2 linked regions of the Macaca mulatta genome follow. The protein of the gene in region 1 purifies or fractionates together with the protein of each later gene. This does not show direct contact. Links are inferred from orthologs where the notes say so. Each region holds a gene or a part of one and is shown in the gene's direction. Other genes may lie near its edges.

Region 1 (4,854 bases):
CAGAGCTTCCCCATCAGCTCCCATCCAGCCTCCTCAGGGGGTAGGAGAGCACTGCCTCTAAGCCCTGCAGAGCAATAACACTATATTTATTTTTGGGTTTGGCCAGGGAGGCGCAGGGACATGGGGCAAGCCAGGGCCCAGAGCCCTTGGCTGTACAGAGACTCTATTTTAATGTATATTTGCTGCAAAGAGAAACCGCTTTTGGTTTTGAACCTTTAATGAGAAAAAAATATATAATGTCGAGCTCAAGAACACTGTGTGTTTGGTGTCATTGGGTCAAGGGTTGGGGATATACACGGCAGAATTTGGAAACAGGGTATACATCAACAAAAACATTAGTCATAACAAGAAAAACTGGCGCCTGGCACAATCAACTCTCAGTTTCCTCTTCACTCAGCAGCATGTTGGGGATCCCGCGGCTGATGGGGAACATACGTCCAGACTCCGGGCACTGCAGGGTGCCCTCTATCACTTCCACCTGCGGGCGGGGAGGGACAGAGCTGAGCACTGGCAGCCTCAGTGAGGGAGGCAGGTGGCCCAGGAAGCAAGTGATGGGCCGCTTCTCACCTCCAGCAGCAGATGGTGCATAGTCCTCAGAAACTCTTCATTCTCCTCATATCCCTCAACCGGCCCTTTAGGCACCTGGATCAGGCGCAACTGTGGGCAAGAGTCGAAATTATCTCCGGGCATCCCGAACTCCCGCCTCAGCCCGGCTGAGGTGTGCCCGCCCCGCACTCCCCGGGATATGCTCGGGCGGGGTAAGGATCCTCACATTATCGGCCGCTTCCAGGAACGCCGCCCACTCCACCTTAGGTATCATACGCGCCACGAAGTTGGGGTTGAACTCCACAGGGCAGATACGGACCTCAGTGGCCTGGCAGGGCGGAGGAGTTTAGGCAAGCACTGGACCCTGGCCCACCATCCCACCCGAAAAGGGAAGCCCGCCGTGGTACCTGGAGGCGCAGGGGGAAGCCACGGGACCCCACCCCCCGCACATGCGAGCTCAGCAGATTGTGGGTGAGCAGTTTCATATCGCCGAACAGGCTCTCGTCAGGCCGGAACCGGAAAGAGGGCGTCCTCCGCTTCGTCACTTCCGGGGATGCTCCACTCGATGCTATTGGATGGCCAGGAGAACGGGAAGTGGCGAACTTACTGGAAATTCTCGTGCTTGCGGGAGCTGAGCTAGGTAGGTGAAAGACCTGTCGGGTCACGCGCCACTACCGGAAGCGTCTCAGCAGGAGGTTCCTACAGCGCACGCCCAGCTTTTTTTTTTTTTGCACAAATCCGTCGTATCATGCAAATCATATGCAAAATAGCTGCAATGCAGGGGCTCTCGTTGAATGCAAAATAAACATGTTTTACTCCTACACAGGCGCCTAACACCGTCGTCTTCTGTACCCCGCTTTCGGCTAAGGGGCAGAAATACTGCCCTATCTGTAAATTAGACCCGTGGAAGCCGAGCGGCACCTCATTCTTATATGCAAATTAGCTGCCCCACTGCCGAAAGCTCTGCCCAATTTGTAATTGCGTCTGCTGTCCAGCCAGCCCCCGAGGCAAATGAGGCGAGGGTCCCGGAAGCTCTGTTACACGCGTGGCCGCTCGCGCCTGCGCAGTGGAGGCGGCCCAGGCCCGCCTTCCGCAGTGTGTCGCAGCAGTGCCTCCAGCCGTGCCCCGCCTGCTGCGGTGGCCCCAGCTAGGGGGCGGAGTGAAAGTGGTCTTAGGGCGGGTATGGGACTAGCCGGCGTGTGCGTCCTGAGACGCTCAGCGGGCTATATACTCGGTGGGGCCGCCGGTCAGTCTGTGGCAGCGACAGCAGCAGCAAGACGGCGAAGTGAAGGAGGGTGGGCGTCTGGCGGGGTCCGCAGTTTCAACAGAGCCGCTGCAGCCATGGCCCCGATCAAGGTGACCGCTGGCCCGGCCGGGCCTGACATCCCCCACTACCCCCATGCCAACCCCCGTCGCGCTGGTCTGGGAATATCGCCTTATTTCCTGCCTGCCAGACCCCTCCCCGCCGGCCGCCCCGCTCATCCCTTCAGAAGGCCCTCCTGGCTGCCCACCCTTCTCGCCAGTCGTGGGGACCTCACCTCCCGGGGCAGTTCCGAGGCATTGTTTCTTTTTTTTTTTTTTTTTGAGATGGAGTCCCTCTGTGTCGCCCAGGCTGGAGTGCAGTGTCGCAATCTCTGCTTACTGCAATCTCCGCCTCCCGGGTTGAAGCGATTCTACTGCCTCAGCCTCCTGAGTAAGTGGGACTACAGGTGGGAGCCACCACGGCCGGCTACTGTATTTTTAGTAGAGACGGACGGGGTTTCACCCTGTTGTTCAGACTGGTCTGGAACTCCTGACCTCAGGTGAACCGCCCGCCTCGGCCTCCCGAAGTGCTAGGATTACAGGTGTGAGCCACCGCTCCTGGCCTGATTTCCCATATCTTCTGAAACAGCTGTCCCTTAGTGCCCCCGCCGGGGCTTCCCCCATCCCGCTCCGCCCTCCCCTCCTCCCATGGCGAATTCCCACCTTTTTGCTTGTCTTTCACTCACCTCCTGGAACCGTCCCCGGGGTCTTGGACCTTCCCCCTTCTCCTCCCAAACCCTGTGAGACCCCATTCCCTTTCTACTTCATCCTGCTGCCAACCTTTGGGCTCCTCAGAGACTCCACCACCTCAGACACTCTCTCCCTACCCACTCTGGCCCCATGAAGCCCTCACATACTCCAGGGGCGGATCCTTCCCCCTTCAAAAGATTCCTTCTTTTGTTGTACCCCTCCTGGGTGTAGGGGCCTGGACAGCCTCCCCCAGTGTTCCACCTGCCGCTGCCCTCCCTCTTTCTCCTCTTGAGGGTGGGACCCTCAGACCTGGCCAAGATCCTCTCCCTCCATGTTGTCAGGGACTCCTCCTCACCTCCAAATACAGCCCTCTAGCCCCTGCCCATTTTATTCCACTCCTTTCCTGTAACAGACAGCATGTTATGTAACCCTTTGTGACACTAGGGGAAGCCTTCCCTCCCTTTCTCTGTTGTCACCAATGGCCCCTTAAAAGGAGCAGGGCCATCTTGAAACCTAGAGGATATGGGGTAACCCGGTGTGAGCGGGCAGGGAGGGCCCTTGGAAACTCTGACAGGGCTGGAGCATCCTGCTGGGTTTCAGCCCCGGCTCCTGAAGGCCCGGCTGCCAGGCGCTCTGTTCACCTTCCTGCCTATGGTTTGCCCCGCTCCCTCACCCCCCTTACCTTGGAGTCCTTCCCTCTAGGTGGGAGATGCCATCCCTGCAGTGGAGGTGTTTGAAGGGGAGCCAGGGAACAAGGTGAACCTGGCAGAGCTGTTCAAGGGCAAGAAGGGTGTGCTGTTTGGAGTTCCCGGGGCCTTCACGCCTGGATGTTCCAAGGTGAGGCCCTTCCCCTTCTGAAGTTCAGGACCTGGGATCTCTTGTGTTGTTCTTAAGTCCTCCACATAGTCCTGACAGGACTCCTAAAAAGCATTTCAGTGCCATCAGAAAACAAGTAGAGCTGGACGCGGTGGCTGACGCCTGTAATCCCAGCACTTTGGGAGACCAAGCTGGTGGGTCACGAGGTTGGGAGTTCAAAAGCAGCCTGGCAAGATGATGAAACCCTGTCTCTACTAAAAATACAAAAAAATCAGCCAGGCGTGGTGGCGAGTGCCTGTAATCCCAGCTACTGGGGAGGCTGAGGCAGAGAATTGCTTGAACCCAGGAGGCGGAGGTTGCAGTGAGTGGAGATCGTGCTACTGCACTCCAGCCTGGGCGAAACAGTGAGACTACGTCTCAAAAAAAAAAATAGAGACTGCAAAAAGGGAACAGTACCAGGAATGTTGAAGAAAAACATATTGCAATTAAATCCAACACCCCTGTTGGTCCTGCTAAATGACAGGCACTTTGGAAGGTGCTTGGAACTCAGATAACTAAGACATAGTTCTGCCCATGGAAAGTTCACGTCTGGACCATAAGGCATTAGGTTTCATTCTGAGCTTCCTAGTGGCCAAGGCAAAAAGGAAATAGAGTGGTTTAGACAGCTCTCATTGTCTGATCAAAGGTGTTGAGGCAGAGCAGTGAGGAGGGCCTGGAGATGAAGGGTGGGCTAGGGGGCAGATGCAGTTACCACTTTGCCAACCCTTTGTTCCCCTTCCCCAGACCCACCTACCAGGGTTTGTGGAGCAGGCTGAGGCTCTGAAGGCCAAGGGAGTCCAGGTGTTGGCCTGTCTGAGTGTTAATGATGCCTTTGTGACTGGCGAGTGGGGCCGAGCCCACAAGGCGGAAGGCAAGGTGAGGTGTGGGGCCTGCAGGGAGTCAGGGCCAGGTAGGATATTCTTCTTGTGACCTTTCCTTTCTCTGCAGGTTCGGCTCCTGGCTGATCCCACTGGGGCCTTTGGGAAGGTGAGTGTTCCCCTGACCACCACAGGAACATGGTCGTGTGGGGAGCAGTGGGGGCCCTTGGCCTCTTCAGGGATTTCTGATACTTTTCTCTGTCTCTTCTTAGGAGACAGACTTATTACTAGATGATTCGTTAGTGTCCATCTTTGGGAATCGACGTCTCAAGAGGTAAAAGTGGAGAGTCCTCTGTGGGGGAGAGTCCCCTGTGGGGAGGGTCCCCTGTGGAGAGAGTCCTCTGTGGGGAGAGTCCTCTGTGTGGGGGAGAGTCCTCTGTGGGGGAGAGTCCTCTGTGTGGGGAGAGTCCTCTGTGTGGAGAGAGTCCTCTGTGGAGAGAGTCCTCTGTGGGGAGAGTCCTCTGTGTGGGGGAGAGTCCTCTGTGTGGGGGAGAGTCCTCTGTGGGGGAGAGTCCTCTGTGGAGAGAGTCCTCTGTGTGGAGAGTCCTCTGTGTGGGGGAGAGTCCTCTGTGGAGAGAGTCCT
Region 2 (4,913 bases), on another chromosome or scaffold:
AAATGGCATAATTGACAGAATGAAGGTAAGTAAATCTCCTGGTGCTGCGCTAGCATATACAAACCAAATTTTTATGATCAGGTTTATTTTTTATTTTTTATTTTTATTTTTATTTTTTGAGACAGGATCTCGCTCTGTTACCCAGGTTGGAATGTAAGGGCGTAATCATGGCTCACTGCAGCCTCAAATTCCTTGGCACAAATGGTCCTCCTGTATCACCCTCTTGAGTAGCTGGGACAGGCTCATGCCACCATGGCAGGCTAATTTATTTTTTGTTTTTATTTATTTATTTATTTTTGTAGAGAAGGGGGTCTCTCCATGTTGCCTAGGCTGGTCTTGAACTCCTGGGCTCAAGCAGTCCTTCGGCCTCGGCCTCCCAAAGTGCTAGGCCATCAGGTCAGGCTAATTTTAAAATCTTTTTTGTAAAGATGGAGTCTTGCTATGTGGGCCAGGCTAGACTGGTCTCTGAGACCAAGGGATCCTCCCACCTCAGCCTCCCAAAGTGCTTGGGTTACAGGTGTGAGCTACCTCGCCGGCCACTATGATCACTTCAAACAGCTCTTTACTGAATCTGCCCCTTTCCCCTATGAGACAGATCTTATCCCAACTCCGATCTTTTTTTTTTTCTTTTTTTTTTTTTTTTTTTTGAGACGGAGTCTCGCTCTGTCGCCCAGGCTGGAGTGCAGTGGCCAGATCTCAGCTCACTGCAAGCTCCGCCTCCTGGGTTTACGCCATTCTCCCGCCTCAGCCTCCCAAGTAGCTGGGACTACAGGCGCTCGCCACCTCGCCCGGCTAGTTTTTTTGTGTTTTTCAGTAGAGACGGGATTTCACCATGTTAGCCAGGATGGTCTCGATCTCCTGACCTCGTGATCCGCCCGTCTCGGACTCCCAAAGTGCTGGGATTACAGGCTTGAGCCATCGCGCCAGGCCTCCAAGTCCGATCTTATCCCAACTCGCGGCTCACCAAGATCTGACACCTGCTACCCTCCCACACCCACTCTGCCACATCTCACCGACCTCTTCCCATTTCTCCTTTAGGCCTTTTCACCTTGGCACTTGCTATTCCCTCTTTCTTGGACATTCTTTCCCCAAATCTTTCCATTTGGGGTTTTCGCTTGTCGTTCTCGCAGCACTGGTCACGGGTCTTCTGCAACCGGACCCTCTCTGACTTCCCAAGCTTGCCCGCCCCCTTCTTTCTCTGCTTCTGCCCTTCCTGGCACCTATCCCCGAGTGACAGCTTCAATGTCCTACCCACACCCTCTTCCCCTGGGAGCTGCTTTAAAGCAGTATCTATTTCAACGTATCCAAGAGTAAACCGAGCCTCAGAGAACAGTAACCAGCCCAAGGGGACGCCTCCAGTGCAGAGCTGGGTGGAGATTTGCAGCCCGCGGAGGAAGGTCCCTTTGCAGCCAGCAGGAGAAGTAGGGCAACGGGGAGCCTATGGACATCGTCACCCCCGCCGCCTGAGGTTACCCTTTAGATGCTGCAGCCTCAGCTGCTCCCAGGTGTCACCTTCGCCCTGCTGGCCGAAGTACTGATAGTCCTGGTAGACCTGGGCAGGGGTCGCCAGCGGCAGGAGTAGCAGAGGCGCCAGCAGCAGCGCCGCCGGGGTCCGGGCCATGCCCGACTCCAACGGCACCCAGCGCGCTCGCAGGCAGAGTTGTGCGCGGAGTCTGCGGCGGCCGCATTACCCCCGCGAGCCGGTGCAGTGGTCCCGGCCGAAGGCAACACGTCTCCCCCCGGCTCCCGCAGGCGCATGGACTCGGCCGCACGCTCCCCCGCACCTGAGGGTGCAGTGGACCCGACCGCTCGGCTCGTTTGCTCCCTCCCCTGCGCAGCGCACATCTTGGTTCGGGCCGGGCATAAAAGGCTTCGCGGCCCAGGGCTCACTTGGCGCTGAGAACGCGGGTCCACACGTGTGATCGTCCGTGCGTCTAGCCCTTGCCCACGCAGGTATAGACACACAGAGTGCACCTGGCGGGAGGACCCCCTTCAAGCTGCTTTGGCCGGATCCTGACCTCAGTGCTGGCCGCCTTTGTTTTCCATCCGCTGTAGTGGCCTCCTTTGTCCTTGCGGGGGAAACCGAGGCCACAGCCTTGCAGTGCAGGCCCGATCGCCCTGTTCCCCGCCCCCTGCTCGAGGGGGCCTCACTGTCTCCTTCTGGACTTGGGGCTTGCGACACCGCGCTCCGGCCCACTCGCTCGTGGGGTGCTAGTGGCAGTGGCTGGGTCACTCGTGCTCTGGTCAGGAGGGCGGGTCTCCGGCAGCCTCTGGGCTTCGCAGACCCGGTACCCGGGAGGGTGAGGGTTGGTGCTGTCGCCTCCGCCGTGCTGACTCAGTCACAGGGCCCAGCACGCAGCGCGACCTTGGGGTGGGAGGACAAAGGGTCTTCCCGGGCGCACTGACCGGACAGGGGTCTCAGCTTTCAGTCATGGCCTCCGGTAACGCGCGCATCGGAAAGCCAGCCCCTGACTTCAAGGCCACAGCCGTGGTTGACGGCGCCTTCAAAGAGGTGAAGCTGTCGGACTACAAAGGTGAGCGCAGCCCGGAGCGGACCCAGGTAGAAGCAGAAGCGGGGCCGTGCATGAGAGAGGCTGGGCCCTAACTCCTCTTGGTCCCTCCTCCCCAGGGAAGTACGTGGTCCTCTTTTTCTACCCTCTGGACTTCACTTTTGTGTGCCCCACGGAGATCATCGCGTTCAGCAACCGTGCCGAGGACTTCCGCAAGCTGGGCTGCGAAGTGCTGGGCGTCTCGGTGGATTCTCAGTTCACCCACCTGGCTTGGTATGAGCAGGGGCCAGAGAAGGAGGTTGCAGCTAAGCTCACACCCTCGGGTCCGAGCTGTGTGGCTTCATGACCATTGCTTAATCTCTGGAACCTGCGTTTCCCCATCTTGAAAATAATGGAAATATTGCCGCCCAAGTTTTTAAGGATGGCAGTAATTAGCATTTGGCAGCTAGTTGAGCTAGTTGTTTGGCACATAGAATTGCAGATGCAACTCAGATGCAACTTTATCTGCTCTATCTACTAGTTCCCGGGGGGGAGGCTGTGCTGCCCTATTTCATAAAGATGGAAACTCGGGTTCACCTAAGTGAAGAGCTGTACCCCATGACACAGCTAGAGGAGGACGGGGACTCTTAACACGGGCTCTCTCCTGGGTGATGCTGCAAGTTACAAGCACATGTGAAGCCACTTAGCTGGAGTGTGGCCTCTCAAGCTTAGTCTTCCCAGCTGTGGGAAGTCCTTGTACCCAACCCAGGGTGGGGTGGGTGAGGCTCCCAGCAGCCTACTTTAAAGCCCCTTATCTTTGGCCTCCAGTGCTTATCACATTGGGCCCACAGGGTGAGGACCCGGCTGTACCAGGCATCCTGAGGCCCCAACTCTATCTCCTCTACTCCCAGGATCAACACCCCCCGGAAGGAAGGAGGCTTGGGCCCCCTGAACATCCCCCTGCTTGCTGACGTGACCAGACGCTTGTCTGAGGATTACGGCGTGCTGAAAACAGATGAAGGCATTGCCTACAGGTACTGTGGGACCCTCAGCCCGGCTCATGGAGACCCCCCATTCCTGTGGAGCTGGAACCACTCCGGTACAATGTCTTCTTTGCCCCCAGCCCTGTGGCTAGCAGCGGGTGGTTGGTAGTCCCTTCCTTGTCTCTGGCAGTGGGAGCTCCCAGCTCCTTACTGGGAACCCTGATGTCTTCAGGGGCCTATTTATCATCGATGGCAAGGGTGTCCTTCGCCAGATCACTGTTAATGATTTGCCTGTGGGACGCTCCGTGGATGAGGCTCTGCGGCTGGTCCAGGCCTTCCAGTACACAGACGAGCATGGAGAAGGTGAGCAGAAACACACATGACACATGGGTACATACTCAGTGCCTCTGTCACTCATGCAAACATTCACTGCCTGTCCTCTGACCTGTCCAGATGGGTGTTAGGGCCCCAAAGAAGATTCAGCTCAGGGGTTTGTCTGCAGGAAGTTTCTAGTGTGGTAAAAGACAAATACCCCTGACATTCAACCAAGGTGGACAAAGGAGCTGGGCTCAGTGGCTCACGCCTGTAATGCCAGCACTTTGGGAGGCTGTGACGGGTGGATCACCTGAGGTCAGGAGTTCGAGACCAGCCTGACCAACATGGTGAAACCCCGTCTCTACTAAAAACACAAAAAAATTGGCCGGGCGCGGTGGCTCAAGCCTGTAATCCCAGCACTTTGGGAGGCCGAGGCGGGTGGATCACGAGGTCAGGAGATCGAGACTATCCTGGCTAACATGGTGAAACCCCGTCTCTACTAAAAATACAAAAAACTAGCCAGGCGTGGTGGCGGGCGCCTGTAGTCTCAGCTACTTGGGAGGCTGAGGCGGGAGAATGGCGTGAACCCGGGAGGCAGAGCTTGCAGTGAGCCGAGATCACGCCACTGCACTCCAGCCTGGGAGACACAGAGAGACTCCGTCTCAAAAAAAAAAAAAAAACAAAAAAAACACAAAAAAATTAGCTGGGCATGGTGGCATGTGCGTGTAATCCCAGCTACTTGAGAGACTGAGGCAGGAGTTCTCTTGAATCTGGGAGGCGGAGGTTACAGTGAGCCGAGATCGTACCATTGTACTCCAGCTTGGGCAACAATTAGCCTGGCTTGTGAAGCATACCTATAGTCCCAGCTACTCAGGAGGCTGAGGCCGGAGGATCGCTTGAGCCTGGGAGGTCGAGACTGCAGTGAGCTATGATCACACCACTGCACTCCAGCCTGGGTGACACAGCAAGACCTTGTCTCAGGCCGGGCGCGGTGGCTCAAGCCTGTAATCCCAGCACTTTGGGAGGCCGAGGCGGGCGGATCACAAGGTCAGGAGATCGAGACCACAGTGAAACCCCGTCTCTACTAAAAATACAAAAAATTAGCCGGGCGCGGTGGCAGGCGCCT

The links. Proteins that work in one complex are often made in the same cells at the same time.
Region 2: the proteins of PRDX5 (region 1) and PRDX2 fractionate together in Homo sapiens (co-fractionation; 3 studies listed by BioGRID). This does not show direct contact. The link is inferred for Macaca mulatta from reciprocal best matches to the Homo sapiens genes PRDX5 and PRDX2.

Annotation. Positions count from the first base shown.
Region 1 is NC_133419.1:10,078,582-10,083,435, reverse strand, and holds the start of PRDX5 (peroxiredoxin-5, mitochondrial), read left to right. Parts: upstream 1-1,640; 5' UTR 1,641-1,728; coding exon 1,729-1,902; intron 1,903-3,240; coding exon 3,241-3,375; intron 3,376-4,137; coding exon 4,138-4,269; intron 4,270-4,341; coding exon 4,342-4,380; intron 4,381-4,483; coding exon 4,484-4,545; exon of another isoform or gene 4,546-4,765; intron 4,766-4,854. Other genes in the region: TRMT112 (multifunctional methyltransferase subunit TRM112-like protein), read right to left, coding at 371-478, 568-657, 773-874, 954-1,031. UniProt on the Homo sapiens protein: Thiol-specific peroxidase that catalyzes the reduction of hydrogen peroxide and organic hydroperoxides to water and alcohols, respectively.
Region 2 is NC_133424.1:13,354,960-13,359,872, reverse strand, and holds the start of PRDX2 (peroxiredoxin-2), read left to right. Parts: upstream 1-1,838; 5' UTR 1,839-1,953; intron 1,954-2,422; 5' UTR 2,423-2,431; coding exon 2,432-2,534; intron 2,535-2,629; coding exon 2,630-2,783; intron 2,784-3,400; coding exon 3,401-3,523; intron 3,524-3,704; coding exon 3,705-3,835; intron 3,836-4,913. Other genes in the region: THSD8 (thrombospondin type-1 domain-containing protein 8), read right to left, coding at 1,474-1,621.